Notamacropus eugenii: one gene and its partner. The protein of the gene in region 1 purifies or fractionates together with the protein of each later gene. This does not show direct contact. Links are inferred from orthologs where the notes say so. Each region holds a gene or a part of one and is shown on either strand. Other genes may lie near its edges.

Region 1 (15,469 bases):
AACATGACTAGGGTGAGGGAGAGGAACTGGAACAGTGGCACCCTTCCAGACCTTTCCTGTCCCAACTACCTGACTTTAACAATCTTTGAATCAACATTCATTTTTCTGTCATTCAAAGTCCCTGGTACTTTTCCCTCAAACATTTCTTCTAAGGGCAGCTTCTCCTTTCCATTGTTCTTCCTCTCCTGGACCTCAAGAGAAACCCTCTTTCAAAGCTTAGCATACAGTGTGGCAAACACTTGAATTCTTGTTCCAATTTACTTACAAGAATAATTCTTCCAGTTTGAAAGTGTTGGAACAAACTAATGAATCACCTCCCTGCATTCCTCCAGCTCACACTGTCCATTAAGGTCACATCTTTATTTCAAAATCATTCCTTCTTTCTGCCAAATGAAGTGACAAGACAAACAGTGAAATAACCAGAGACATCCAAGACCCTTATTCTAGCTAGACTCCTAAGGCAGCAACAGGTTAGTATCAGAAGGGATTCAAACCGGCCACATTCTGCTCGTATTCTCAAAGCAAAATACTGATCTCACCCAGGGAGAAAGAGTAATTCTCAAGTAACACCCTGAACTTGATATATCTCACCTCACAAAAACCAAATCTGACAAAGTCCAAGGCTCTTGTTCTCAACTTGCGGAAATTCTGACTATTTCACATCCAAATTCAGGCATCCACCAATCAATCCAAATATAGTACCTGGCTTCACACATAAAGGAATAGGGAGCTCAAATCTCTACAACTTTGCCACATTCAGTCAAGTAAAGACTTCTAAAAATCTGATAATAAATTTAACACCACACTTACTCAGGAAGCCACTGCTAGCTTCAGAGAGGAGCAAATTACTCAGCAAGAAAGAGAACTGCTGAACAGCTCAATTCTGTCACAGGGGTTTTCTTGATTGGCTAAATAAAGTTAACTCCTGTATTACCTTTTTTAAAGAACATAATTTTTGAGGTATTTGAAAGACAAAACATTCAAGTAAAATAGAAATGCTGAACATTTTAAGTACAGCACAATGCTCTTGGGGCTTGCGCCAAAGGTCCCTGACACTTAATTAAAAGAGAACACTATTAGTGTTTAGTTTATTAAGCTTCTGACAGACAAAGGTTCTTTTCTCCTTGCAGCTGGTTCGTACTAGACGTAAACTCAAAGAACAAGTTCACCCAGAAACTCATGATTTAAAGAATCACACCCAACTTCTTTTCCACTCGAGGAAATGGAGGTGACCCTGAATCCTCTAAGGAGCCCCAAACCACCCAGCCTGGCTAAGTGCAGAGAGGCTCAATCTCAAGACCTACCAGTTAGTTGGAATTTCTTTGGCCACAGCAACTCATGGAAACCATCTAAGGTATGAGGTACCCAAGCCAATGAAATCACAAGACCCTCTGAAGTATAAGAAGTTGTTATCAACTCTAAATTTTACATCAAGCCATAGACACTGGTTTAAAAAAATAAAATTGGTACCTTCTCAATATGAACCAAAGAGAAAAATAATTTTCAGTACTAGATTCCTTCAGAGCATCAGTTGGGTGTGGCAACAAGGGGCCTGAGACCTGAGGGCATGAGTCACAGCCAGCCAAGCAGCTGGTCAGAGGAAGAAGGAGGTGGCAGTTTCTAATATTTATAACAAACTTAGGGCTCTTAATCAGACACTATGCAGATGGTTTAGGCCAAAGGTTAGGGAAAATTCATGACACTCAGGAACCTGGTTTGTAAACCTGAATGCATAGTTCAATGCACAGTACACTGATGAACTGAGAAGCAATATGGTTCAATAGAAAGAGCACTGGATAGGAATCAGTTCTTGGTTCTCCAACCCTGGCTCTGCTGCTCTATGTGATCTAAGACAAGTCATTTCCCCTTTAGGGGTCTCAGTTTCCTCATCTTTAAAACAAGGAAGTTTTGGACAAGATGTGTTCTAGACCAAAGAAGTGGAAGAGATTTAGCAACCATCTAGTTCAGTGCTCTCATTTGACGGGTGAAGAAACAGAGGAGAAGAGGTTGATTTACCCAAGGTCACAAAGATAACCAGAGGCACAGTTAGGACTGGAACCTAGAATGTTGTACTGCCTTTTTCAGCTCTGAAATGCTATGTTATTGATGAAAGATCATAGGATCTCAGATTTCAAACTGAGGCTCAGACAGACTCTGTACCTTGTCCAAGGTCACAGTCAGTAAAGAGGGCCATGGCTGTATTTTGTCGCTGTTATTCAATCATGCCGTTATGTCTCACTCTTTGTGACCCCATGGACCACACTTTCACAGGGTTTCCTTGGCAAAGATACAGAAGAGGTTTGCCATTTCCTTCTCCAGTGAATTAAGGTTAAGCTACCTACCCAGAATCACAGAGCTAGTGAGTGTCTGAGGCTGGATTTGAACTCAGGTCTTCCTGATTCCAGGCCTAGCTCTCTATTCACTGAACCACCTAGCTGCCTCCTATGGCTGGAATGCAGGTGATACAATTCCAAAACAACTTGTCTCCACTGTACTACATTCACCAGTACTAACTAGCTCTTTTGTAAAGGCAGCTGAGATCCAACAGGACCACAAAGTTCAGAAATTATACTTAATTCCACACGTGTATTCTGTGTAGACCATACAATGTCTACTGTCTTGGATAGTGTTTCTGGAAGGAAAACATTCACAAAAATATAACTGAGATCTCTAAATGTAAAGTTACTTGCAACCCTTCAACAAAAGGACAGTTGCTCCTAATCAACTCTCTTTTCTTCATTGAAAAAGAGTTTTCAAAGTTAGTGGAAGGAACTTCTTTGGCAATCAGAGAAAGCTCTGAGAGTTGTTTCTGATGCTTGTTATCTTAGGAATCCAGTCAACTCTGTTGATACAAGTTAATAGACTTCAAAAGTTTATTCTCAGGAAGAATCTAAATGCATAACTATGTAACTTTAACAGGATGCCGATAATGCTTGTAATTGGGCCAGGCAGTTCCGAGGACAATGGGCAAAACTACCTACTAGTAATACCAAACCCGAGTAATATTAGCTCCTATTTAGACAGGGTTTTCATATATATCTTCACAATCCTATGAGATAGGCAGGGCAAGGGTTATTTCCATTTTAAGTGAACAAATTGAGATTCAGAAAGGTTATTTACCCAAAGGCACACAGCTACAGTGCCTGGCTAAGCTGGCACTCTAACCCATTGTCTCCTCTATACCAGCCTACCTCTAAGTACTCAGTAAATATTTGTCAAATGTCAATGGTAAAACCCACAGAGTCCCTTTGTTTGGAATGGCTACAGGCTGAACCAGAGCACTGAGGTCCCCTCCAAATATGAAATTCTATGACAAATGGCAAGGCTGGGACTTGAAGCTGAATCTCCTAACTCCCAGGGTCAGCGTTCTCTCTGCTACACCTCACTGCTTCTCCAGTTCTTTGAAAAATGACTGTATTCACCTAATGCCCAACTGCACTAAGACATTTAAAGGTCTCATCAAGGAATCATTAAATTACTCAAACGATTAAGTTTTAAACCCAAATGTTCTGGTTAGGCAAAGGATTAACCTGTGACACTGCCCAATGGAAACACTGTCTCTTTAGCAGTGGTGAGGTGGAAATGCCCACATCACAGCTAGCAATGTGTCCAGGCTTATAGTTCACATTAGTGACACAAACCTGGATACAGACTACAATCCTGTTCCACCTAACCCAAAGTAAAAGAGAGTAAAGTAAAACCAGACCAAAGGGAAAATGGTATGGTATTAGGCAGAGAGAGTTTCAGAGCACCCTTCTTAGGCAAAATATGGGGAAATGAGTACACCAACTTCACAGTCTGTCCCATCATGCATCATATCATAGGCTAAGAGCTGTAAAGGCTGCTGGAAATTATCTAATCCACACCCTCCTTTTATAGGTGAGGAAACTGAAGCCCAGATCAGGGAAACTTGGTCAAGGTCGCATTACTGATCTGTGGAAGGGTCAGAAACAGAACTCCAGTGTCCCAAGTCCTCATTCAGTGCACTTACCACTAGACCATGTACTTTATCCCGCTCTAGTCCTACCTTCCAAATACTATCCCCAAAGAGCCACAGAGGTTCATTTATGACACTTTCTAATAAGAAGATACTTCCGCTTTCAAAACGAGTTTCCATTAAGAAGCCACAACCCAAGTTTACCTTCCTTTCTTTGGTGTCCAGTCTCACTGCAAAGGGGAAAGTGCTGAATCCCATTCACAGAATGACATGGGGTAGATATAATGACATGAATGGTTATTTTGTATTAACAAGTAGTTTATGATGAACTCAACTCAACTCAGCTCCTTAACTGATTCTGCTATCCTACTATAACTAACCCTACCCATCCACTTTGTCAAGGTTGGAAGGTACCCTTAGTTACTGGTCAGGGCCTGATTCATAAAGTCATCTCCAGAAGGAGGTCAGTGCGCAGTACATAAATAGCAGAGGCAGCCAAATATAAAACCACTAGAAATCAGCAATTCACAATGTTAGAAAGGAAAGGGGCCTAAGAATTAACCCAGTTCAGTCCCTTCATTTTACAAGGGAAACAGGCCCCAAGTAGGGCCATGACTTGCCCAAGGTCACTTTCCCACTGAGTGCCTCAGAGCCAGAAGAACCACAACCTAAATCTTCTGCCTTCCAACTGAGAACAATTCTTACTCCAGGCAACCTCCAACACTAGACAGAACTCATCAGGGGTCATGAATCTGCAGTCACTGATGTTTCTTATGTTACATCATAAGCAAGTTAGAGAGGTCTAAGTTTTCCTTCCTGCTGACTGATAAGCTGGTGCAAATAATTCATTTTGGCAACAGCAGGAACCCCTCTGAACAGGATAAACAAATCAAATCTTGCTTGGCCCCAGTAACTGGCAGCATGTCATGCAAAATATCTACTGGTGGCTCAGAAGGACATTCTGTGGAAATGCAAACTTAAATCGAGTAGACAGACACATGACAACAGAGCAAGTAGTTTCGTGATAAAGCAAACAGATATAAGTATGGGAGAGGGTGTTAACAATTTATAGGTTTGGGCTACTGATATGTATTTTGCTAATATTGCCTTCACCAGCTTAACATTCAGTGGGTATGATTATCATCCACCTGAGACTAAGATGTTAGTGAACAGGCAATTTCTAACATTTCCTTTAGAATATGACATTCATTTGCTTGCCAGTTTAAAGATTTTAAAAGATGAGATCTAATTACATTGTTTTTCTAATGAGCAAAAAGATTATACTTACTTTTTAACATTTGCCTCCCCATTGGGGATCCTTCGCAACTTTTTCTTTTTAAGGATTTTCACAGCTCTCCGGCATAGGGTTTCAGAGTCCAGCATCTCCTTCACTTTCCCATAAGATCCTTCTCCCAACAAATCCCCCATCAGGTATTTGCCAATGAGTTTGGCTCTTTTTCGTCTTGGCTGGTAGATGACCTCGGTGGAGTCTATTCGGTGGATAAATGTGTCCATACCCACAGACATCAGTTCACTTTCTGTAAACATGCCCAACTGCTGTGGTTCTGCCAAATCCATCCTGGATTAAACTCCTTAACCAGGCTCCCTTAGATACACCAGGATCCCTTAATCCAACTTGAGTTCTTGGTTTTCTCAACTTTTCTTCTCAAAACAAAAAAAACAAAAACAGAAGAGGAAAAAAAAAACCCAACTCTTCCAAAGATTGTACTAACGTAATTCAGTAGTCCCTGAAAAGGGTCTAATGCACCCCAAGTGCCTGGCTCTCAAGCAAAAAAAAAAACAAAAAAACAAAAAACATCAAGAACTTTTGCTCAGGCACCTGGCTTGTTTTTTGACCCGGTCTCACTGCTTTGGCTCTGCCAGGTCTCCTCACTCACTGCAGCCCCTAAAAAGGCCCAGGTTGGGTTCTTAAGTGCTAGGTCATTCTCTAGGACTTTAGACCCTTGGACAAATACAGAAGGAAAGTGAAGTCTTTTCAGGACTTTCCATTACCCTTGTGTCATGGCTCCCAAATACAAACTGGGATCAGCAGTCCGAACGTGCTCACAGGATATCTGCACCTTGAATTCCAAACTTGACCCCCTTTGAAAACAAACTGGTGGTGGAAATTTGATTGCTTGAAAGGGTTCCCTCTACTGAATATCAATCTCTTGTCCCACTCCCCCCACCCCAACACATTCACACACACAAACACACAGGCTCCTCCCCTCTATCTGCCAAAAGTTCAAAGCCCTCAACACTTATCAAGGTTTCACAGGGGGCATCCCTTCACCCGGAGTCTGCCGATCCCTCCTGCCGCTTCCCTCCCCAAAGGTCCCCTACTGCCAGCCCCCCAAAGGTCAATGTGAAGACACCGATCCTGGGGAGCCTCCACCAAAGGGCTCCTGGAAAGAGCTCAGACAAGTTTTCCTTCCCACCCACCCGCTCCTGGGGAAATCCCTCCCTTTAATAAATAAAGCCGGGAGGAACGGGATGGGAACAAACTAACCCAATCCCAATTTTCTGGGTCCCTCTCCCCAAAAAGGTGACAGGTAGAGATGAGTACCCCACTCCTTCCAAAGGAAAAAAAAAGGGTAAGGGGGAAGGAGAGGGCCAAACAACCCCCACCAAAGTAGGGGTGCTAAAGGCGACCTACTGACCCCACGACCCTGAAACAAAGACAGAGTTGGGGGCGCGGGGCTGGGGAGGGGAAGTAAACTTAAAAGGCGGGTTCTCACGCCCCCCTCCCCCCGCCCTCCCTTCCCTTTGCTCTCGGGATCCCAAGCGCTGTCGCTTGCCGGCTCCCCTCCGCCCGTCCCGGGGAGGCTCCCGGCAGAGGGGGCTGCGGGGGTCGTCGCTGCTCCCTCGCTCCCTCCGAAGGTAACGGGCGGGGGGCTGGGGGGAAGGGGCTGGGGCCTCGGGGCCCCCGGGAGAGCAGCCCCCTCCCCCCAACCCTCCGAGTCCCGGGCAGCCCGGGACCGGGCCGGGCCGGGGCTCGGCTGCCTCTCCCGACCGGGCTCGGTGAGGGCGGGTCCCGCACCGCAGGCCGCCGCCGCCGCTGCTCCCCCACAGCCGGGCCCCGCGCGGGGCAGCTCTGAGGAGGCCGGGCGGCCCCGGGCCCATCCAACGCGGCCCAGTCGGCACCGGGCCCGCTGCGCACGCAGGCGGAGAAGGAGGCAGGAGAGAGCGGCCGGCGCCCGGGTTCGGTTCCCCCGGCGTCCCCGCCTCACTTAAGAGAGGTCCGAGCGGCCGCCTCCCCCTTCCGCACCCGACACGCCGCCGCCATCTTGTTTACCTCCCTCCCCCCGGCCCTCCTTGGCGCCGCCGCCGCTGCTGCCGCCGCCGCCGCACGCCCCGCCCCCCAAGCGCGGCCGGCCGCCGGCGTGAACGGCAGTTGGCTGGCGCCGAGGGGCCCCCACCCTGCTGCCCAGGGCGATTGGACGGTTTGGACCGGAGCGGGCTCCGAAGCAGGGATTGGTTCCCGAAGGGAACCGCCCTGGAGGGTGGAGCGCGATCTCTGATTGGTCGGGGGAGGGGCCCATTCTGAAGAGAGGGCGGGGAAGGATGCGGGATGGGCACTCGAAGTGGGGAAGGGGAGGGGGAGGTGAAGTGTAGTTGGGGGCGGGGCCAGAAAGCCCAGACCAAAGGCAGGAGCTAAAAACCAGTTCGTAGGATTTACAGCTGGAGAGTGGACCATCCTAGGGACGGTTTTGTCCAAGCCTCTTACTTTACAGATGGGGAAGCTGAGACCCGGAGAGAGGAAGGGAAGTCATTATCAGAGCTGGGGCATGAATTTAAGTCCTCCGACTCCAAACTTATGTTCTTTGTACCCACCCCTGGACTGCTACTTCTCACCATCTCTTTTTAAACCCGTAAAGGCTAATCGACCAGCCTATAATCCCATGAACTGCAGACCTCATAGACCTTAGGGGCAGCCCAGTCCAGCCCTGAATTATATAGATGAGGAACTGAAATCCAGAGGAGGTAAAGTGACTTGTGCAAGGTCACGTCGCTAATAAGTAGCCTCGCCGGGATTTGAGCCCAGGTCCTCATACTCCTCATCCAGCTTTCTTCCATGGAACCAGCCCTTTTGGTAGGAATGGGGCTGCCCTGCTGGCCAGCTTGCCTTGGGCCAAGTCCTGCTAGGATCGTGTAAGCGTCTTTTCTTGTTGATGGGGGTTGGGAGAGAAGGAGTCAGTCCTTCTATTGAAGTGGGGGACAGGGGAGGAGTGAGCCCTGCTGAACCAGCTTCAAGAGGACCCAGAAGCTCTGCCATCTCTTCATTTCCCCTGGCACGTACACCGCTAGGTCTTGACTCCACCATCCATCCAACCCATCCAGCTGGATGCCCTCTACTATCTTGTCTTCCCTTGCAGCTTCCTTTGTGCGGTGTCTTCTCCCGTTACATTGTAAGCACCTTGAGGGCAGAGAGGGACTGTCTTTGCCTGGCCCCGAAGCAGGTGCCTAAACAATGTTTATGGCCCCTAGTACAGCCTGTGTTGGGCACAGGTGTGGGAACACCCAGAGAACAGCTTCAGGACAAGGCTGTAAGCCTCTAGGCTGCTCATCTTCATTCGAAGATTTTCTTCCTCCATCCCAGTGGTTTGGCTTAACAGACTCTGCAGAGGGGAGGGCACACATCTCACTCTGAAGACCACTACTCTCGGTCATCAGACATCCTTCACTCCACTTTTGTCAAAGGGAGGTGACAACTGCCAATACAGAAATGTTCACAAAAAATGTTTGGCTGTTTGTCCCAGAAATACCACTACTAGGTCTGTAATCCGAAGAGAACAAAGAAAAAGGGAAAGGACACGTACAAAACTATTTATAGCCGTTCTTTTGGTGATGGCCAAGAATTGGAAATTGAGGGGATGCCCATCAATTGGGAAATGACTGATTGTGATGGGATACTATTATGCTATGAGAAAAGACTAGCAGGCAGATTTCAGAAAAACCTGTAAAGACTTGCATGAACTGATGCTGAGTGAAGCCAGAAGAACTGGGAGAACATTGTACAAAGTAGCAGCAACACTGCGCAATGATCAATTCTGAATGACTTAGCCATTCTCAGCAATACAATTATCCAACACAATTCCAAAGGACATGTGATGAAAAATGTTATCTGCCTCCAGAGAAAGAACTGACTGGGTCTGAATGCAGGTCAAACCATACTTTTTTTAACTTTATTTTTCTTGATTTTGGGGGTAGTTTTTGGTCTGTGTTCTCATGGTTAATATAGAAATATGTTAGTCTATATCAAATTGTTTTCCTTCTCAAGAAAGGGGGAGGAAAAGGAGTGAGAGAATTTGGAACTCAAAAACAAATTTTAAGTGAATGTTAAAAATTGATTTTACATGTAATTGGAAAAAATAAATTAAAAAAAGAATGTTGAGATGTTTTGTTTTTTACCTTTCCTTGTAAACTCAATTGGAGGTGCTTAAATTAAAAAATGTTTGTTGACTGATTGACTGGGCAGAGACTTGGCTCTTATGTGATCTTGGGTACCCAATATGCCATAGTATAAAGAGAGCTAGATTTAGAGGTAAAGAAACTGAGTTTAAACTGTAGCTAGGTGATGCAATGGTTAGAGCACTGGACAGGAAGTCAGGAATACCTGAGTTCAAACTTGGTCTCTGACTGTTGCTATCTGTGTGGCCCTGGGCAATTCACTTAACCTCTATCTGCTTCAGTTGCCTCACTTGTAAAATGGAAGTAATAATAACACCTATCTTCCAGGGTTTTTGTGAGAATCAAATGAGATATTTGTCGAGTACAATGTCTGACATACAATAGGTGCTATATAAATGCTAGCTGATGTTGTTGCTACTACCTATGTGATCTGGGCACAGGGTCATCTCTAATCATCCTGATTTATATCTTGACCCAGGTAGGTCTGGAGGAGAAAGGCTGATGACTGCACAGCCCTTCCTCGCTTAAATCCAATCCACTTGCAAGTCATAGCATCATCTCCCTGAAGTCCTGGTCCTCTTTGAGAATGAAGGACAAACAACAACCTATGAGTAGCTTGAGCTACCCCACTGGGGACTCAACTGGCCAGTTCCAGTTGATCAACTCCTTTCCTTTCCTTTCCTTTCCTTTCCTTTCCTTTCCTTTCCTTTCCTTTCCTTTCCTTTCCTTTCCTTTCCTTTCCTTTCCTTTCCTTTCCTTCTTCCTTTCCTTTCCTCCTTTGTCCCTTCCTTCATTTCTTTCCCTTCCCTTCTCTTTGCCCACACATGGTATCATATCCTTGCCTTTGGGTACTCTGCCCAAGGGAATGTAAATTTTGATGGCTGAAATCTAGCAAAATGTCTTGGGGTTTCCTAGCTTGATTCTTCTCTTAAGATTATGCTTTAAACCCAATTCACTCTGGCTCTCATTAATTGGCCAACCTTAGATCCTAGCCCAAGCACCAGTTAGCTGTCATTGCTTGGTACCTGATAGGGGTCATTCCTTGACTCTTGCCTAGCCTTAATCACTGAATGGGCATTGCCTCAGTCAACGTGACAACTCAGAAAGACCTTACCTTAAAAAGGCCAAAGTCTTCCACTGTGCCAGGACCATCTCTAGTTGTCTTGATCTATACCTTGATGGCTCTGGAGGAGAAAGTGAGGCTGGTGACTTTGCACAGCCCTGCCTCACTTAAATCCAATCTACTTGCAAGTCATGACATCATCTTCCTGAGATCTCTGTCCTCTTTGAGAAGGAAGGACAAAAAACAACAACATGTGAACATGGGCAGTTCACATACCTTCACTGGACCCTAGTTTCCCCATCTGTAAAATGAAATGATTGGATTAGGTGATTTCCTAAAATTTTTTCCAGCTCTAAACATGATCTGCCAAGCTTCCAATCCTGAGTCTGAGCCGTCTAACTTTCTCTGAGCCTCTGTTTACTTACCTATAATTTAAGGAGACTGAACTAGATGACCTCTAAGTTTCCTCTCTTCTCTGACATTCTATGCCCTTTATTTAAGGACCATTGTAATTTAACCTTCTCTGCTCTGCTTTAATTCAAGAATCATTAATTAGCACTTACTCTGTATAAGATACCAGGCCCAGAGAAGGAGATTCAAACCAAAACCAAACACAATTCTTCTATAATACACAAACACAAAGCTTCTATAATACCATTATATAGTGTATGTTACAAAGAAGCCATGGTCACAAAGACTCCTGGATATGGAAAGGAAGGTCTGATCTCATTGATGTGGGAATTCCCACTAGTAAAGCAGATTCCAGTGCATCTCTACCTTCTCATGCTAGTTAGCCATCTTCTACGTGGATGCCTTTTTGTATATTTTGTGATTTGATATTGATGCTAATGCAGTCACCCCAAACCCTGTTCTTTGGTTTCACTCACTGTGACCTCCAATACCCCAATCCTCTCGGTGCTTTCCTAGGCATCAACCCTGTGCTGACTACACACTCCTTCCTCATCTTGACCCTTTGGTAAGCCCTGCTCACCAGTTTAATTTCACACTGTCCTCTTGAGTCCCTTGTTTCCCATATTTTATTGCCAATCTTGCCTTGCCAAGACTCAGCAGTGGATCACTCCCACTATCCTCTGCTTTAGATCCTGCACATATGCTGCTGAATGAAGGTGGAGAAAATCATGAAGCTGCGATGTCTGCATCCATTACAAATGTATTTTACACAGCCGCACTGCTGCTAGAAAACCCTTTTACACTTCTCTAATTAGCTCACTATCTCATTCTCCACAGAGGCTCATCCAAACCTTTTCATCCCTCCTCAGACTTCCCCTGGCTGCCCCTCTCCCTAGTCTCTCAGCTGAAAATTTTGCCTATTTTCCTGAAAAAATGGAGAGATTTACTGAAAGTTCTCTCTTCTCTCCTCCTCATCTCTTATCCTTGTGCCACTATCTCCCCTGTAAGCCCTGTCTCCCTTTAAGAGCTGGCCCTTCTCCATGCCAAGGCAAACCTCTCCACATTCAAAAGTGTTCCTATCAATTGATCAATATTTTTAAGCACCTACTATGTGCCCTCTCCACCATACTCATCTTCTCCCTTAACTCAGTCTCTCCCTATCTACAGGTTCCTTCCCGACTGCCTACAGATGTCTCCTCCATCTAACCTCCTCTCCCAGAAAAAAACCTCACTTCATCCATCCATCCCTGCTAGCTGTCCCATCTCTCTTCTCTCTTTTATGGCTAACCTCCTTGGGAAAATACCCCATGCCATTTACTATAGGCAACTCCACCTTCTTTCTTCTCACTCTCTCTTTATCTCTACAATCTGGTTTCAGATCACATCATTTAATCACAACTGCTGTCTCCAAAATTGCTAACCATGTCTGAAATGGCCTTTTTTCAGTCCTCATCTTTTTTGAACTCTCTGCTACCTTTGATACTATCAATCTCTCTCTTCTCCTTGAAACCCTTTTCTCTCTGGGTTTCTGTGATGCTTTTCTGTACTGGTTCTTCTCCTACCTCTCTGGTCTCTCCTTTTCTGGATCGTAGTCTAGGATACATATGCTAAATGTGGGTGTCGCCCAGAGCCCTCTTCTCTTCCCCTTCTATACTACCTCCCTTGATGCTCTCCTAAGTTCCCAGGTTTCAGTTATTATCTCTATGCTGAAGATTCTTAGATCTCCTTATCCAGCCCCAACCACCATTCTTACATCTCCAATTGCCTATCAGACCTCTCAAAGTGGATATCCCCGAGACATCCAGCTCAAAACGTCCAAAACTGTGCTCATTATTTTCCTCTCAAAGTCCTCCTCACAACTTCCAAAATTCCCTTTTACTATCTAGGGTACCACATCCTTCTAGTTACCCAGGCTCCCAAGTTCATTGGCATCCTCATTTCCTCACTCTCACCCCCCATAACTAATCTGTCACCAAGTGTTGGTTTTACTTCTGTAACATCTTTCATATATGGCCCTTTCTTTCTTCTGATGCTGCTGCCCTTCTTGTTTGAGCCCTCATCCTCTCCCTTCTGGACTATTTCAGGGGCCTGCTGCTTGGTCTCCCTGCCTGAAGTTTTTCCCCACTCTAGTCCTTTATCTTCTCAGCTAACAAATTGAACTTTCTCAAGTGCTGATCTAACCATGTCACCCCTTCCCCCCCATTCTCCTCCTCCTCCTCCTCCTCCTCCTCTTCCTTCTTCTTCTTCTTCTTCTTCCCTCTAAAACTCATCTTTCTCCTGTACTTCCCTACTACTATCAAAACCACCACCATCCTTCCGGTCACTCAGATTCTCAACCTTGGCGTCCTCCTTGATACCTCCTTCACCCCTTACTCCATGTGTCTGAGCAGTTGCCAAATCATTCTGTCTCTCCAACATCTGTCACATCTGTCCCTTCTCTCTGCCTAGATTCAAGCCTAATTCAAATCCTCCTCATCACCTCTGCCTTACACTACTGTAATCACTTTCTAACTGGCATCCTTGCCTCCAATCTCCCCAATTGGAGTCCATCTTCCACATAGCTGCCAAAACGGTTTTCCTAAGTTGTAGTAACATTGACCATGACATCCCCTCCATACTAACAATAAATTCTATGAGTTCCTTATTATTTCAAGGGTCAAACATAAACTATGTGGACAATTAGGTGGTGCAGTGGATAAAGTGCCATGCCTGGAACCAGGAAGACTCATCCCTTTGAGTTCAAATCTGGCCTCAGATACTTACTAACTGTGAAATCCTGGGGAAGTCACTTAATGCTGTTTGCCTCAGTTTCCTCATCTGTAAAATGAGCTAGAGAAGGAAATGGCAAACCACTCCAGTATCTTTACCAAGAAAACTCCAAATAGGCTCATAAAGAGTCAGACATGACTGCAAAAATGACTGAACAATAAATTGTGTATCCAGTTTGGTATTTAAAGCTCTTTACAGGCTGGCCACACCCTACCTTCCAAGCCTTATTGTATGGCACTCCCACTTATTCTGTGGTCTAGCCCAGGGGTGGGGAACCTGTGGCCTCGAGATCATATGTGGCCTTCTAGGTCCTCGGGTGTGGCCTTGTGACGGAGTCCAAGTTTTACAGAACAAGCCCTTTTATTAAGGGGATTTTTTCTGAGAAGTTTGGATTCAGCCAAAGAGCTCTTGAGGACCTAGAAGGCCACATGTGGCCTCAAGCCCCCAAGTTCCCCACCCTTGGGCTAGCTTTAGTGGCCTACAGATGATCTATCTCCTCTCTTTGGGGTTTTGCACAGACTGTCCTCAAAGCCTAGAATGTTCCCCGTTCTTACTGGTGCCTGTTAGAATCTCTAGTTCCCTTCAAAACTCAGCTTGAACTTCATCTTCTACAGGAAACCTTTCCTCACTACACCCCCTCCACCTTCCTATTCCCCAAGTTACTACTCCCTTTCCTTCCAAAATAATAAGTATTTCATTTAATCTTTACCACAATCCTAGGAGGTAGGTGCTAGTATTGCTTCTTTTTTACAGATGAGGAAACTGAGGCACATAGATGTTAAGTGATTTGCCCAAGGTCACACAGCTAATAAATGTCTGAAGCCACCCTTGAACTCAGGTTTTCTTGACTCCAAGTCCAGGGTTCTATCTACAGCACCACCTAACTGCCTTCAGAACTGCATCATATGCCTTCATATTTATTCTGTACTTACTTATGTACATGCCATGCCCTGTTACATACATAGGCATAAACCCCTAAGGATTTGTCTTTGTACCCCTTAGTATTGTGCCTGACATATAGGTTGTGTTCCTCCATTTTTGAAGACCATGACATCAGAGAAATGATGACTTGCACGTGACTTTGTTTTGAGTGACATATAGTCCGATATATAGTAGGTGCTTAATAAGTTTTTTTCTTGCTGTTGATTGAGACATGACTAGTCTACCTCCTTTCCCAGTCATACCTTCCTTTTATGACACCCATTAGTCCCTTGTATGCAGTTCCTCATTGGTAATACACAGTAGGGCAGTCAACCCATCCCCACCCCCTATCTGTACCACTATGGACCTTCTGGTAGCATTTCCAGGGACCAACAATGTCAGTGCTTCAGAAGTCCTCGGATTCCATAGCTCACAACCCTCTAGTGTCATCAGGAGAATTCTGGTGTTTTGGGCTTATTTGTTTTGTTTTTAAAAGATAAACCTTTGTGAGAGGGAGAGGTGTGCAGTAATGGACAGCCCTGGAGTGCTGGGTCACCTCTCATTACTATTTTTCCTGTCCCATTCTAGGCCATATTCTTTGCCCATCAATGAAAACATGCATCTGAAAAGGATAAGATGAGTAAGGCTATAGGGAGAGAATGCTCTAAGGAAACTGGAGGAGGGACAGTGACTTCCACTGGTGGAATCTTGAAAGATTTAATGAAGGCAGAAACACCTGAACTGGCCTTCTATATTCCAAGTTTCCTCTCTTATTGGATTTACTCTGACTTCCCTTTGATGTGATTGCCATGGGCAACCTCCTCAGGACCTTGCCCTCCTCTGTCCCTTCCTGACTGCTGCATTTACCCAGATCCCAATGGGCTTTTTCAGATTCAGAAGGATAGGTCTGGAGTGGGGGACCCTTCTCTTCCACTTCCCCCTGCTCCCTCTACCCA
Region 2 (15,218 bases), on another chromosome or scaffold:
TTTCTAAATTACCATTTTTTTCTCTCCTAGTCCTTAAGTTGGGGTACCTCCAACCTCTTGCTTTTTTGGGCAAGTGACAATGAATCCAGTCACCACGACCAAGGAAAGAGAACAGTGTTGTCTGTGGGGAACACCTGGTCTCAGGCAGAATTCAGCACTTTAGAAAAGAAAAAAGAAAACAAATTTCAAACTCTCATTTCTAAAAGTAACCAATACAGTCTCTTTTCCATCAGGATCAAGTCTTCACCCATTTTATTTCCAGAGATCCAGAGTCTTTGAAAGGACTTAGTGATTATCTGGACCAGTTCCCTCCCTTCTAGACTAGGTCACCAAAAATAGGGGACAAAACCATATGGAATCTCTGAATACTGACAAAGATAATAAGATGAACGAAGATTGATGTTGTGCTTCCAATCCTGCAAAGTCCTTTACCATCTATGGGCCCACTGATCCAATCACAGATCCATTCATTTCATGGGTTATAAAAATGGAAGCACCTTGAGGCCAGGGACTGTCTCACCTTTCTTTTTCTGACTCCAGCACCTAGGACAGTGCTCAGCACATAGTTGTTCAACCTTCATCTTGAAGAGGACCAATGATATCAGGGGTGATGTTTTTACTTGCTCATGCATGAGATTTAAGTGAGGTCAAGTTGCATGAACTTGACAACCTCACTCTCTCTTCCTGTGTCATTTAAGTCCACTGGAAGGACAAAAGTCATGATGACTGGTGATGGTCCCGGATGCAGCAGTTGACCTTGTTGTCTCTGATGTCTGATCAAGCTCTAAGTGCCCCATATCACCTGCTTCAGCTGCCTTCATGGCCATTGGAACAAACTGTTCTCATTCATCCATTCCATCAGGGAAAATCTTCACATGCTTGAGGGTAGACATCCCCCTAACTCACTGACAGGTTTGAGACCCATCAGTAACCCTTAACCTGGTTTAGCCTGTCTGCCAAGACAGTTTTACAAATGTGTGGATGTACATGCTATAGCTTCTCATAGTCACAGATAAGAATTTGTGACAGGTGTACTGGAAAGGTGGATGAGCAGCCCTGAAATAGTCCTCCATAAACAACTCACAAGTTGTAGCCACGTAGTAGGTGAATGTTTGTTTCAATTCATTGATTCATTGTTGACAGGTCCTGAGTCAAAGAATTCCCTGACCTAATAAGGCATTGATAAATCACTACAATACTGTGCCAGTCACTGTAAGGAAAAACAGCAAGTTTTGTTGATGATTATGGTGGTGGGCATGGGGATGGTGGGCATGGGAATGATATGATGAACAGAAAGTGATAATGATGGTGATGACTCTAACCACAGTGGTGGTGATGGTAATGATGGACATCATACGGATAAGGGCAAGTGATTCCTATCTGCTTCATTCTCCAGGAATATAGAATGTCCCCAAAGTCTTAGCACAGTTTTAAGCTTTAATAGTTTTAATTAGCTTGACATTGTGCTAACACTTTGGAGACATGTAGTATTTAGTTCATCCAGAGAGAAGGGAAATCAACTTTTGAAGAAAAGGTAGATGAGAGGAATGAGCCCTTCGCTAGCAAGATTATAGGGTCAGATTGGTTACAAGACTAAGAAGCATCTTCTTCACAGACAGAGAATGTTCCTAAGTTGCTGATGCTTCCTGTGAGGTCCAGGGGCCCTGTCTGTAGCATTTAGGACTTTGGGTAGCATTTCTTCCCTCAAAGCAAAGCATCAGGTCAACAATGGTCCCATTAAAAATATTCAACTCTCCAGTATTCACATAATTCTTAGTTTTCACTTAGTGGCTATTCATATATTCTTGGGAAAATACAGCAGCGAAGCACAAAAACATCTCATTTGCCACCATCTTCCAAAGTTCTTCGAGTTGATGTGGAGAGAAACATACAATGAAGCATGGAATGTGATACATGGACGCCATCATTCACAGTGCTGTCTGCTTTCCACATTCTTTGTCTACAAATCAGGAACATATTTGAGTCTCATTTGTTCCCCATCTATCTTTTCTCCCATTCTTCTTACCTCCTAATGAGGGCAACCCCCAGTGATCCTCTCTCTACTTAAAACAATCTGATTCTAAGCCCAGAGCTCTAGTTGCTAAACCACAAAGAGAGATGTGACAAGAAGCATTTAACTCACTACTTAATAGATGGTTAAATGCTGAAATGTCACAATAAAACGAAGGAAATGTTTTATTTCTAAGGATAATGTTTACCCCTCTGGAGATTTGGCTAACTTTTTTTGTTCCTCTGTGCATACATTTTTGTGATAACAATGTTATTTAAACATCCATCCAGATTTTTATTCTTTACGGAGGCAGCTTTTCCCAGTATTTAAATTCCTCCCTGGTTGTAAATGAAATACTTTCCTAAACTGCATGATCTCCCTCAGACCACTAGCAAGGCCACAAGTTACTATTAATAATGTGGTACTATTTAGACTTTCAATTAATTTTTCTATTACTTTCAAATTAGTATCTTGAATTTGTAGAGATTCAAAAGGTATGCAAAATTATTTTAATATTTTCAATACTTATAAAATTAGGATTGTGATGGTTGTGGTGATGATAATATTTATACAGTACCTACTACGTGCCAGGTACTCTACTAAGAACTTCATAATTATGATATCATTCGATCCCCACAACAATACTGAGAGGTAGATGGTATTATTATAAATCCATTGTGTAACTTCCCTGGAATGAGTCTACCTTCCATCTATGCTGACTCTGACCCCACTGGGGCACATTCAATCATCTTTAAGAGGCTAGAAAAAAATGGCCATCACCCTGCAGTCAACCTCAGAATTAGCCTCTCTGGATGTCACTTGGTTATCCTTCAATGAGGATACATAAAAAACTACATGATATATATGCAACTATAAATAATACAAATGCTTATTCCTTCCTTCCCTTCCCAATAAGAGACAGAGAGATGACCCTGATCAAGCCCACACTCATAACCTTTCTAGTTTAAGGAACGTGCCAGCGTTTCTGTCCTGTCAATTCAATTCATTTGATTCAGTCAGTCCAGTTCAGTTTAACAGGCGTTTATTAAAAACCCACTATGTGCCAGGATAGTATACTAGGTTCTGAGGATACAAAGGCAAAAAAAAAAAGTCATTGTAGGGAGAATGAGAGTCAATTGAGGTATTACTCAACAGTCTGAGTGACATGGGACCCCCTCCCACCCTGAGATATTAGGACTAGAGGAATGGATGAATCAATGAAAGCCAATGAAAAAGATTTTTTCAATCCCTTATTGTGTGCCAGGCATTGTGCTAAGGACTGATGGTTCACAGACAAAAGAGAGATCATCCCCATCCACACGGAGTTTAGGTTCCAACAGGAGAGAAGGATGAATCCAGAGTCTGGAAATCAACAATCCTCTGAGCCTTTCCTCTAGGAAGGATTCTGGAAAACCATGGACACAGACTACAGAGTATAGGGAGAGGCTTCAGTCCTCATTGATCAAAAGAATATTCGCACCAATGAAATTAGATTTGTGCTATTTGGTCCACAGAGAAGAAAAAGAATAGCCAAGTGGATGGTGCAAAGAAACAAATCTAGACTTGATCTGAGGGAAAGCTTCCTGAACAGGCAGAGCCGTCTAGGTGCTGCCAGAACTGGTGGGATCACTGATTACTGGAGAGGTTGCTAAAGGGATTCCTGTTCAAGAATGGGGTCCCTTCTCACTCTGAGATGCTACAAAGTCACCTTTCATCAACTCCAGTGATTGCCAGGAGGCAATTGGAGGGGGACAAAGGTGAGCCTTGGCTCATTCTTGAATGAGAAGTCATGCTCTCTGAGCCCTGCAGATTCTGAATTTATATTAACTAAGCAGTGGCAGATAAAGTCTGTACTTAATAATGATTTTTCACATAACTGATTTTTGTTATTGTTCAATCATTTTCAGTCGCGTCCAACTCATTGTGACTCCATTTGGGGTCTTCTTGGCAGAGATACTGGAGTGGTTTGCCATTTCCTTCTCCTGCTCATTTTTACAGATGAAAAAACTGAGGCAAACAAGATTAAGTGACTTGCCCAGGATCACACTGCTAACAAGTGTCTGAGGCTAGATTTGAACTTAGGAGGATGAGTCTTCTTGACTCCAGGTCTAGCATTCTATCTACTGCACCACCTAGCTGCCCTAGGTAAATTTTACATTTTTTTCTTACATATTTTTGTAAGTGAGAACCTTCTTCATGTTGTTAAATGTTTAAAATATTTCAACTGAAAAGGCAGTGGGTGTGATGTAGCCATGGGAAATATAATAAATATAGCCCTGGGCTATGATATCTTATTCCATTTGTCCCCCCATAGGATGGTCCTTTGACTTCTAAGTATCCCAAGTAACTGCACCTGCATTCAATGAGGGTTCTGAGATGCCAAATGACTCAGGAGCCAGAGAGGTAAAAAACTAGTTTGAGAAAGTATGTGGGAAGGATTACAATCTCAACCCAGATCCGTCATGATGGAAGAAGTGGGGAAGAACATTTTTCAAGGTGGTTTCTTAGCTCAGTAGCCTGGAAAAAACAAAGATTAGGAGGAATGGATATGGATAGAGTGCTGATGATGAAGTCAGTCAGGCTCAGCTGCAGGCAGGCCACAAAGCTGCTCCGAAGAACTTTGTTGAGGCCCCATTTCTCAGTCCTGGCATCTCTGCTCCAAAGTAATTCTACTTCATGACAGATGAATGCTTTAAAATATTTTAATAGGGATAGGGACAGACACTAGACCTGTGATTTGAGAAAGGAAATTCATATAAAAAAACTCCCTCTTTCAATGTAGGCCATTACCTTCACTACAATTTCTAGTTGTGGTTGCTCAGAGGATTATGAAAATTTCCAATCCTGTGACCAAATCCCTCTCCAGAAAACTAGGCCATTGAGCAATTCTGTCTGGAGGTTTTCTGTCTAAAAGAACAGAGCAAAACCAACATACCAGGGAGCTGTGATTTCATTAGTGGGGGAATCGTCTGATGTCCAAAGAGGTTGTGACTTAGCCATGAGCACACAGCTGGGGAGTGTCAGGAGGAGGACTAGAACCCATCTCTCCCTGACACCAATCTCCCTCATCTCCCCCATCCAATCAGCCATTTGACCTCCATTTCTCTGTCATTCTACTCACCATTCCAGCACTTAACAGTATCAAGCACACAGTAAGTATTTAATAAATGCCTGTTTACTGTTTCCACAGCTTAAGGTTGCTCATCCAGCATTCAAGGCCTTCCACTATGTGGCATCACCCTACTTCCCAACTCTATCTCAGACTGTTCCCCTCCATGTATTCTGTGCTCTATCCTCTTTAGATGATCCATCAACACTGGCATTTCCCACTTCCAGGCTTTTGCTCATGCAATTTCCTCTTCTGGGAATATCTCCTCCCCTCCCTCATGTCAAACCATCTTTTAAAGCCCCAATTAAACATCACCTTCCTGATGATGATGATGATGATGATGATGATGATGATGATGGTAGCTAACATGGGTTAGCAAAGACTCCATATTCATTATCTCCTTGAACCTCATAAGACCATAAGTCATGTTCTCATTTTACAGATAAGGAAATTGAAACATGGAGTGTCTGCTTGATTTGGCTCCTGCTACCCAGCTTGTGTTAAAGGTAGGGTGGAAATCCAGGTTTTCCTAATTCCAAGACCAGCCCTCAGGCTGAAGAGCTCAAAAGCTTTCTCTGCTCTCCCATTCAGGACTAGAAGAAATGTGATGATAAGATTTTTGAGGAGCAAGTATGTCATGAATTCTCTCTTAGATGTTTTAAACTGGAGGTGCCTGGCAGGAGATATCCAACTGGAGATTAGAGAGAAGGGATCCTGCCTCAGAAGGTCACTAGCCGTGGGAACTTGGGCAAATCATGTAATGTGGATCAGTTTCCTCATCTGCAGAAGACAGGACTTGACTCCATGACCTCTAAGGATTCTTCCAACTGTATATCTGTGCTCCTGGCTTTAGGGCTGGGAGTCACCTGCAAAGACCCTATGGGAGCTGATGGAACCCCCTAGTGAAGAGGAAACAGAGAGGAGAGCACCAGAGTTTGGGGTGGCAGTTACCTCCACTTACCTGCTCTGAGAAGGCTGAAAATCCTGGCCAGGAGGCAGAGAAGGAAATGGCAGCTGGGAGCATGGGGTGCACGTTTGGTGTTTAACAAACACTTTTTGATTAAATAATCATTGGCATTTTTCTTTGGACTGTGCAGAAGTCCCTGGGGCTTCTCCCTCCAGGGGATGGATTTACTACTCTCAGAATCCTTCCAAAAGAATAAGTTTGTCAACCCTTCTGGAGTTATGTTCACAGGTTGCCAAAAAATGATTTGCAACTGATTTTTAAAATGCAAACTTAACATTTTCCAGCAAGGAGGATTCATATTCTTCTCAGGAGGGTGGGTCATTTTCTGAAAATTAATTCTACTTTCCTGCTAAATGAAATCACTTGCATTGCCTGGGGTACACCTTGGAGATGTCTTGTATGACACCCTGCCTCCATAGGCCTGATGTGTCATGGTAGGTTACAGAGGGAAAGAGTCTCATGCCAGGAGTCAGGAAAAGTCAATTGTACTTGATGGGCCTCATTTCTATCCTCTGTAGAATGGGCAGGGTTGAACTAGTTACCAGGTTAAGTCCTCAGCCCTCAGCAGGCATTTTCTCCTCCAGAGAGTTCATATAAGGTGGGAGAGATCCTGACTCCAACTCACACTCTGAAGTTGGTCTCTGAGCAGGACCACATCTCCCCCAGTAGGGAGAATTCCGTTCTTATGCCATCGGTTTGAGTGTCCATTCCAGCATGTTCTCCCCAAGGTCCTTTGGTGAGTAGTACTCTGGTTCTCATTTAACCAACTCGTATCAGTTAGCTTTTCCAAAGTGATATCTTCTGAGAAGATACAGTAAGGGCAGAAGTCATAAGCATTTTCCCCTTCCCCCTACTCAGGGGCCCATTCTCCGATGGACCCCTTTGGGCCCTGCCCAAAGTTCACTCTAGAATGTGGCATAGGTGATGAATGAGTGGCTGTACCTCCTCTGGATGCCTTCCACCCCGTTAGGCTGGGTCAGCAGCTCACACGGGACCTCCCCTAAATCTGGCATGGATTCCAGCTTCCAGGTATCTGCTGGTTCTGGCTCTTGACCTTTCACAGCTTACAAGGTCACAGCCTAGTCTGACCCTCAGTCCCTGAAGAGCAGGAGAGAACATCTGAGACCCATAATCTCTGACCACTTTTTGATCCAAGACCTCTCTCTCTTTCCACTTATAGGAAAGTGGTTTATAGGATTTCATCTTCACTTGAACCTGCCAGGCAGAGAAAAAGGGCTGAGCTGCCCCCACAGGAGTCCCTGTTATGTAAACCCAGTTCCATCTCAGCAGCCAGTCAAAAAACATGCAGTCATCAGGCCAATATAGGGAAGCTAAGTGGTGCAGTGGATAGAATTCTGGGACTGGAGTCTGAAGGACCTGAATTTAAATCCCAACTCAGACACTTACTAGCTGGGGCAAGTCACTTAACCCTGTTTGCCTCAGTTTCCTCATCTGTAAAAGGAATTGGAAAAGGAAATGGCAAACCACTCCAGCATCTTTGCCCAGAAAACCCCAAAAAGAGTTGCAGAGAGTTGGACACAACTGAAATGACTCAGCAACAATAAGATCAGAATGATTCATAGAACTCCATTCATAGAACTACTGCTTGGGCAGTAGAGACCCAGTTTTTCCATGCTATATCATTAGAGGCTTCCAGAGGCCAGATCACCAAAAGCTCAAGCTCCCAGGACTCCTCTGCCAGGCCCACATGACACTCTCTATCTATTGAAAATGTTGCTATTCCAGGCAAATTGGCCATGGCACATTTTGAACCCACTGCCCATGTCCCCCATCCAGAAGAGCTCTCTGGGTTCCTGAGAGCCATAAGAATGGTCCCTGAATGCCTCCCCCAGGGCTGGAGTACAGAAACAGATCGCATGCCACCATCTTAGAGAGTTTTCAGCACATGGTGCCCACTGTAGAGGTCTATGGACTCAGCACACAAAGAGCATCTCACAGAATTAGCCAAAGATCACTGCTTGCTTAGTACTGGATGACGGCCTAGAAACAGCCTTCGCAACACAATGGCAAAGAAAAGAAATTCAAGACAAAACACCAGTTTCCCGGCTCAGAAGAAAGCCTGAGAGATACCTGCAGAATTTCCCAGACTACATGGAGTTGTCCCACAAAGTACCTGGAGCCTGGGGTCAACTGGTGGTCATCTGGTCACCCTTAGATGAGAAACCAAAGGGGCCCAGTGCTGGCAGAGCAGCTTGCCAAACAAGCCCACCAAGGTGACTGCAAAGAATGCTTCTGACTGCGGAGAACCACTCTGCCAAAGCAGAGGGGCACAATCAACCCATTTTTTCTCTAGTGGATACAGAAAAGTAAGTTATTGAATAATAAAATCCCAGGTAGGGAATTTCTCCAGGGCCCCCCACATAGACAAAAGTCCCTATTTGATCCTAAATGAGACCTCAGAGGCAGGCTTTATAAGCCTGGATCAAGACGGGTCCTCATCACAGCTCACACCACTGGGCCAGCTAGCTCCTCTTCAGGGTTCTCTGAGGGGAGGGTGGGGTGTGGGGGTTGCATCTGTAATGGGGGGAGAGTCCCAGGATCCTAAGTCTAGAGCTGGAAGGGACCTTGGAGGGTTGAACTATACATGTGCCTGCTCTAAAGCCCTGTGCTGCATGACCTTGGGTAAGTCAGTTTGGCTCTCGAGCCTCAGTTTCCCCGCCTGTAAAATGGGCATCTGGGTCCTCTAGAGGCATCTATGTGCTGTGTGCCTTTGGGGAGGTGGGTTCCACTCTCTGAGCCTCAGTTTCCCCGCCAGTAAAATGGGCATCTGGGTCCTCTAGAGGCATCTATGTGCTGCGTGACTTAGGGGAGGTGGGTTCCCCTCTCTGAGCCTCAGTTTCCCCACCTGTAAACTGGGGCATTCTGGACAGTTATTTCGGGGTCTAAGGCTTATGCATCTATGAGCTGTACGACCTTGGTCAGCTGGGCCTCAGTTTCCCCATCTGCACTAGCTGCACGCCCAGTTCTGTGGGCGCACGCGGGAGCCGGGATCGGGATCCCAGCACAGGTCTCAGCAAACGGGAGGTGAAAGATGAGTCCTCCAGAGCAGCGAGACTTCGGGGCAGAGCGGCTCGCGCACGCAGCGCGGTGGGCGGAGCCCCGTGGAAGGAGCCGGAAGTCGGGTCGGCGCACGCTGAGGGAGGAAGGCCGGAAGTCGGGGGGCGTGGCCGGAGAAGGGTTCGGCGCCTGGAGAGCGTCACTCTCGGCGCGACGCCGCTTGTGGGATCCGGCGCTCGGCGGCCGGCAGCGAGCTCTGGGGCCCGGCCTGAGGCGGCGGCAGAGGAGGCGGAGGGGGAGGCCCAGGCCCGGCGCAGGCGGGGAAGATGCCCGTGGCCGTGATGGCGGACAACGCCGCCTTCAGCTTCAAGAAACTGCTGGATCAGTGCGAGAACCAGGAGCTCGAGGTACCGGCGGCGCCCGGCCGCGGGGGCGCGCACGGGGCAGCTCTACCCGCGGGCGGGAGGGGGCCGGTTACCGGGGCAACGGAGCAGGGCAGGGGGAGGGGCGGTTACCCCTCCCCCACGGCCCGTGAAGCCGGGGCAGAAATGGGGGTGGGGCACGTAGGGGAGCCTGCTGGATGCCGCGCGGAGCCTCGGGCGACGGTGAGTGACGTCACAGACAGGTAGTCACGTTATCCACGCGCTCGTTCCGAGGTCCGCGGAGTAAGCATTTGTAGAGAGCCTACTGTGTGCGGACCTCCTTGTGATCCTCACGCCAGCTCTGAGGGGGTGCCATCATGATCCCCGTTTTACGGATGAGGGAGCTGAGACGGAGAGAGGCAGGCGACCTCCCCGGGGTCACAGCTGGTGCACCCCACCCGGCAGCCCCAGGATGGGGTCGGGACTGGCCCTGTGATTTCACTCCCGCGTGAGGAAATTCCCCCCACTGGTGCAGGCCAGCAGCACCTTGGAGTCTCACTGGTCATCAGGCCAGCCTTTGTCAGAGTTAGACACCCCAGGCTAGGGCGTCCTGCCCATGAGGCCGCCGGGCGTTAAAAGTTCTTTAATTAAGAGGGCGGAGAAAAGGTCTTCCAGGAACAACTTCCAGTTTTCATTCTTAGATATTCGTTTTGGGGCTGTATTTGAAAAAAATTGGCACCTTTTGCTCCACAAATCCTGTGGCAAATACTCTTGTTTTTCAGAACGTTAGAATTAACATTTTGGTTAAAACAGTCATGTTTCCAGTCGTGCCTATTTAAGAGTTTGGATAAAAGTGTAGGAAATAGGAACTGAAGCTGGGATTTCATTGGTGGTGGGAATTCCTGGAGGAAAAACACTTCTACCAGGCAAGATTGAACACTTTCTCCCACGAGGCTTGGTGCCCTGGCAGCCAGCTGGTGTCAGTTGTGGGACTCGAACCCGGGCCTCGCTGACTTCCTGCACTGCCTACGAACATGACAAAAGGATCCATGGATGGCCTTGGTGACTCATTTGTGTGTGTTGTCTCCCAGGCTCCTGGAGGAATCGCTACGCCCCCCGTGTACGGGCAGCTCCTGGCTCTGTACCTTCTGCACAATGACATGTAAGTATTTGTTTCCATGGCTCACCGTGGCTAAGATCTGACTGATCTTTTTGGAAAGCTTTGCCGCTATTTTAGAAAACTCTTGGAGTTTTTTTCCTTTGGGTTTAGGTGAGGGTATTTTTAAGGTGAGTGATCTCTGCCACTTTGCAAAATGCTGCTTTTTAGGTCCTAAAATCTATACAAGCAGAAGAATGCCCAAAATGACCTTATTCAGCTCTAGCCCATTTTATGTTTATTTAGAACATTTTCGTAATCTTCTGATAATCAACTGATTACAGCAAAGGAGAGCACAGCCTGTGTCAGTACTTTCCTCTGTTCACTCATCCCCCTGGGTGGGGGAGGGGGTAACCTGGCCTGATAGTCCAGCTTGTCAGCCCTCTCCTACCTCATGCTGTCTTGTATTTGCTTACCTGTTCACTGGCTTGTGTCTCTTCCTTCTCACCTCCCCACCCACAAAACGTTCTCTCTGCAAGGACAGTTGTCCTTTCTGTTGTTGAGCCCCCACCCCCATATACAGAGCAGGTATTTTGGGCATATACGCTTGTTGGATTGAACTGAGTTGAAAAAACTGGAAAGAAGTTTAGGGGCAATGATGAGTGACCTTTGTAGCCTGGAGCTGGCTAATCCTTTTTAAATGAGAAGAAAACCAAAGTCACCCCCACCAGAGGAAGCCTTGCCTCCTGATGAGCACAAAAGGTAACCCTAGACTTGGAGCTCCCAGTGGATGAGCTCCAGTGGAGTTCCTGGTGACTCTAGGCTGGAGGTTCTGCCTTTGAACCTCAGTTGTGGAAGCCCTGCCCTGAGCTTTGTGGAGGAGAACTCCGGAGTCAGAGGGGCCTTAGAGATTCTAGTCCAGTAGTGTCCAGTTTATACTGCAACAGAGCCAGACTCAGATGTAATTGGGAAATGTTTAACTAAGGAAATAAAAAGACAGAGATAATGCTAATTTGTGGTTTTCTAAGTCAGTATGCAGCCTGCAGGGGTCCTTTTCTATTTGAGTTTGTACCGATGGTCTGGTCCACCCCCTTCCTTTGGTCCTGAAGAAGAGAGAAGCCCAGGATGGTGGGGCCTATGGGTACCTAAGGCCACATCACACAGTGTCAGCCTCCTTCTGGTTACAAACACCATCCTCTCCCAGCTCCTGATAGTGCCTCTGAAGTCCCAGATCAGCAGCCCACATGTGGGTAGCCCTAGTGTTCATTGCCTTGGTGATGTCATTGCCTGCTCACTCCCCCTTCCTGAGTGTATCTGTTTTGCTTTAATTGGTGTTTTAAGCTTCTTGCGTGTGCTGAGCATCCAGCACATGTGAACTGCAGTCTTTAAATTCAATGAAATCAAAGTGAAATTGTTCCCAGAGTCTAGTTAAGATAGGGGTTCTAGTTGATTTATGTCTAACTTTTTAAAGAGCATGTCTTTTTCTTGAGACAGGTGTGTTTGAAGTTAAATGAAATCCACATTATGGGGATAGTTAAGTTCTGGTACTGATAAGAAAGGTGTTCAAAAACTATAATACAGCAGTTCCATTTTTAGATTTAGCCTGCAATTAAACCTCTTGAGAAGTCCTGATATTTCCTTGAAATTGGTCTCTGAAAAACTTTGGCAGTGCCCCTTCCCAAGTACTGCTTAGTTCCAGAAGGGAAGGATATCTTGGCATAGGATAACCCCTGCCTTAGATTAGGTAAAAAAGGATTGTCACATGGTCCTGAGGAAACTGAGGAACGTTTGGCATACCAGGCAATATGTGCCAGGCCTGGCAGCATCCTGGTTCCCTGGCTGAGGAAACCCCAAGTCAGTCAGGAAATTAGAGCCGCTCTTCTCCAGGTGCAAAGGGTTTGCACGAAGTACCAGTGTAAAGTCACTTACCTTGGTAAAAGATTTTCTCCCAGTAAAAAAGTGCTGAATATCTTTTCAGTTGGGATGCTGCTTCTCCCCAGCCTAACCCATGCATGTGTATGCACACACATGCCAAAGTAATTCTAGAGCAGGATTATACAGAGCTTGCAAAAGTGAATTGAAATGTTTTTTAAAAATCATTCTGTAGCACTAGGATGTTGAGCCTAGTGAAGCAAACTTGACTGATTTTTTTTTTCTTTGTGGATATAAATTAGGAATAATGCTCGATATCTTTGGAAAAGAATTCCTCCTGCTATAAAATCTGTAAGTAATCTCCATGTCTGTCTTACTCCTTTGTAAGGTTATTATGCTTTAAATACATTTCTTATAATAGTAATGATAGTAATTGCTTAGATTACCCAGATTGTACATAGCTTACTTACCTGTCTTGTGTCATATGTTCTTGCCCAGTGGTTTTCTCCCCAGAAACTAAAAAGGCTTTGATCATGTGCAGTCTCTCTTCCAAGGATGGGCCCAGCAATGTTCTGGCCAGCTCATCAACCAAGGATCTGTATGGGAGAGGGAAGGGATTGGCTCAGTTACTGTCCAACCTCACCAGGATGTGGGGTGGCTGGCGGCAGGAGCTTCCACGTCAAAGGCATTGTGAAGCTTTTGAAGTTTTACAAAGGATTTTCTAGAATAACTTTGAAGCAGTCAGCGTGTTCTGCTCAGTAATTCTAGCTGCTGCACAGTCTGAGTTTGGGATGTTACACAACTCCCAGCTCAAAGAGTCTTGGTTCTGTAGTAACAAAGTAAATTTTGTCATCAGAATTGTGGTGTTTTTTTGTTTTGTTTTGTTTTTAAGAATGATATCAGTGCAGTAAATGCTCAGTATCTTTAACATTGGTTTTCCTCCCAAGTCTCTATCTTGAAATGTGACTTTCTTGGTTATTTAGCAGGCTGCTTTGTCTTTCTACGGTAATCTTTAGTTTTGAAAAACTTTAGAGTAACAGTTAAATACATTTGAAGACAGATCTGTTTTGGATTTCAGATCCTTCTCATTGTTTTTGAACTAGAAAACATTCCAGCACAAATAAGGGGTCAGACAGGAGCCCCACAGGCCCACACAGTCACAGCCCTCTCGCGTGTGGTCCAAACCAGATTAAAATGTCATTGGAACATATTTAAACACAATTAAACCTGGATAATATTTTAACACAAAGTCACTGTCTGGCCCTCAGGGATCCTTGGGTGCAGTGGAGTGGCCATGGTTTCTCTTTGAGTTGGACTCACTGTCCGAGCACAGAGGCTGATTGCTTTCCATGTAGTTCTCTGTACATCAAGTCTCATCCATCATTTTTCATATTCTCTCTGAAGCCAGGGATACTACGTGAGGTGGACATGTTCAGGTGCAATGAAGGTTTCTCTTTATTACAGGCGAATTCTGAGCTTGGGGGAATCTGGTCAGTAGGACAGAGAATCTGGCAGAGAGATTTCCCAGGAATCTACACAACCATCAGTTCTCATCAGTGGTCTGAGACCATCCAGCCTATCATGGAAGCGCTCAGAGGTGAGGCCTGATTATTGGTGAAGAATCTAATTCATAGTCACTTTCCTCCATATATTTTTTCAACTTTAGATGTATCAGTGGTGAATGGAAAGTTCATCTTTTCTTAAATGAAGAAGACAGTTTTCAAAATTCAAACACTTCAGATCATGCCACCATCTTAATCAGAGATCATGTACACTGTGGGCAGCAGACTAGAGGTTTCCCCTCTAGCAGCACTTGGATCTAAATCTTCTTGAAGTGTCTCTGTTGTTTTTTACTATAAGAGAACTGGTTTTTAGAAAGGTAACATGGAGCAGTCTTTGAGGACCAAGAAATTGTCAGATATTCAGACTTCTCGTTCCATTTTAGAGTAGGAGCCACTTTGCCAGAGAGACAGGGCTTGTAAAAGCTTGTAAGGTGTTACACAACAGTCTGAAGGGATTTGTCCAAGGTCACACAGCTGGTGGAGCTCAGCGCGTTATATCAACTTGGTTAGAAAGCAGAGGTGAAGTCTGCTATTAGCCCTGATATTCGCATCATCTCTCCAGTCTTATCTGCCCACGTGGCACCTTAGCTCACACCATCCAGGATCGCGCAGGTGCGTCTGAGGCCATCATCTACTATGGTTAGACTGTCCTCCTATGTCATGTTGAGTTGTCTCTCACGTAGATGCCAGCTGTCATTTGCAGTTTAGATTCTCATCTCCCTTGGAGGGGAGCTCTTGAGTCAGGAAGCATGAGAAGACACATGCTGACAGTGATGTGCTCAGTCCAGGATTTATGAAGCCCCCGCTGCGGGGCAAGACTGAACCAGACCTTGGCATCAGGAAGTTCATGTTGTATTGGAGGAGACAACATGCACACATGTACCATTATACAGAGCAGATGGGGCGAAAAGGAGGAAAGGTCTCCAAGGTGAGGAGGGACCATTCCTGGCCCATGCCAAGGCTTAGAGATGCCACGGCTTGTGTGAGGAAGAACAGGAGGGCCTGGTGGAGCCCAGGGCTCCACCATATTTAAACACAAACCTGGATAATATTTTAACACAAAGTCACTGTGTGGCTCGCAGGGATCCTTGGGTGCAGTGGAGTGGCCCTGGTTTCTCTTTGAGTTGAACTCACTGTCCGAGCACAGAGGCTGATTCTTCTGTGCTTTCCACGTAGTTCTCTGTATATCAAGTCTCGTCCATCATTTTTCTTATTCTGTCC

Evidence for each region.
Region 2: the proteins of STK11 (region 1) and COPS8 purify together in Homo sapiens (affinity purification with mass spectrometry; 3 studies listed by BioGRID and IntAct, with this or other methods). This does not show direct contact. The link is inferred for Notamacropus eugenii from reciprocal best matches to the Homo sapiens genes STK11 and COPS8.

The regions. Positions count from the first base shown.
Region 1 is NC_092875.1:61,885,367-61,900,835, reverse strand, and holds the start of STK11 (serine/threonine-protein kinase STK11), read right to left. Parts: upstream 6,345-15,469; 5' UTR 5,516-6,344; coding exon 5,226-5,515; intron 1-5,225. UniProt on the Homo sapiens protein: Tumor suppressor serine/threonine-protein kinase that controls the activity of AMP-activated protein kinase (AMPK) family members, thereby playing a role in various processes such as cell metabolism, cell polarity, apoptosis and DNA damage response.
Region 2 is NC_092873.1:61,836,515-61,851,732, reverse strand, and holds the start of COPS8 (COP9 signalosome complex subunit 8), read left to right. Parts: upstream 1-9,194; 5' UTR 9,195-9,431; coding exon 9,432-9,512; intron 9,513-9,758; exon of another isoform or gene 9,759-9,844; coding exon of another isoform or gene 9,845-9,886; intron 9,887-9,978; exon of another isoform or gene 9,979-10,002; intron 10,003-10,558; coding exon 10,559-10,629; intron 10,630-12,737; coding exon 12,738-12,786; intron 12,787-13,899; coding exon 13,900-14,032; intron 14,033-15,218. UniProt on the Homo sapiens protein: Component of the COP9 signalosome complex (CSN), a complex involved in various cellular and developmental processes.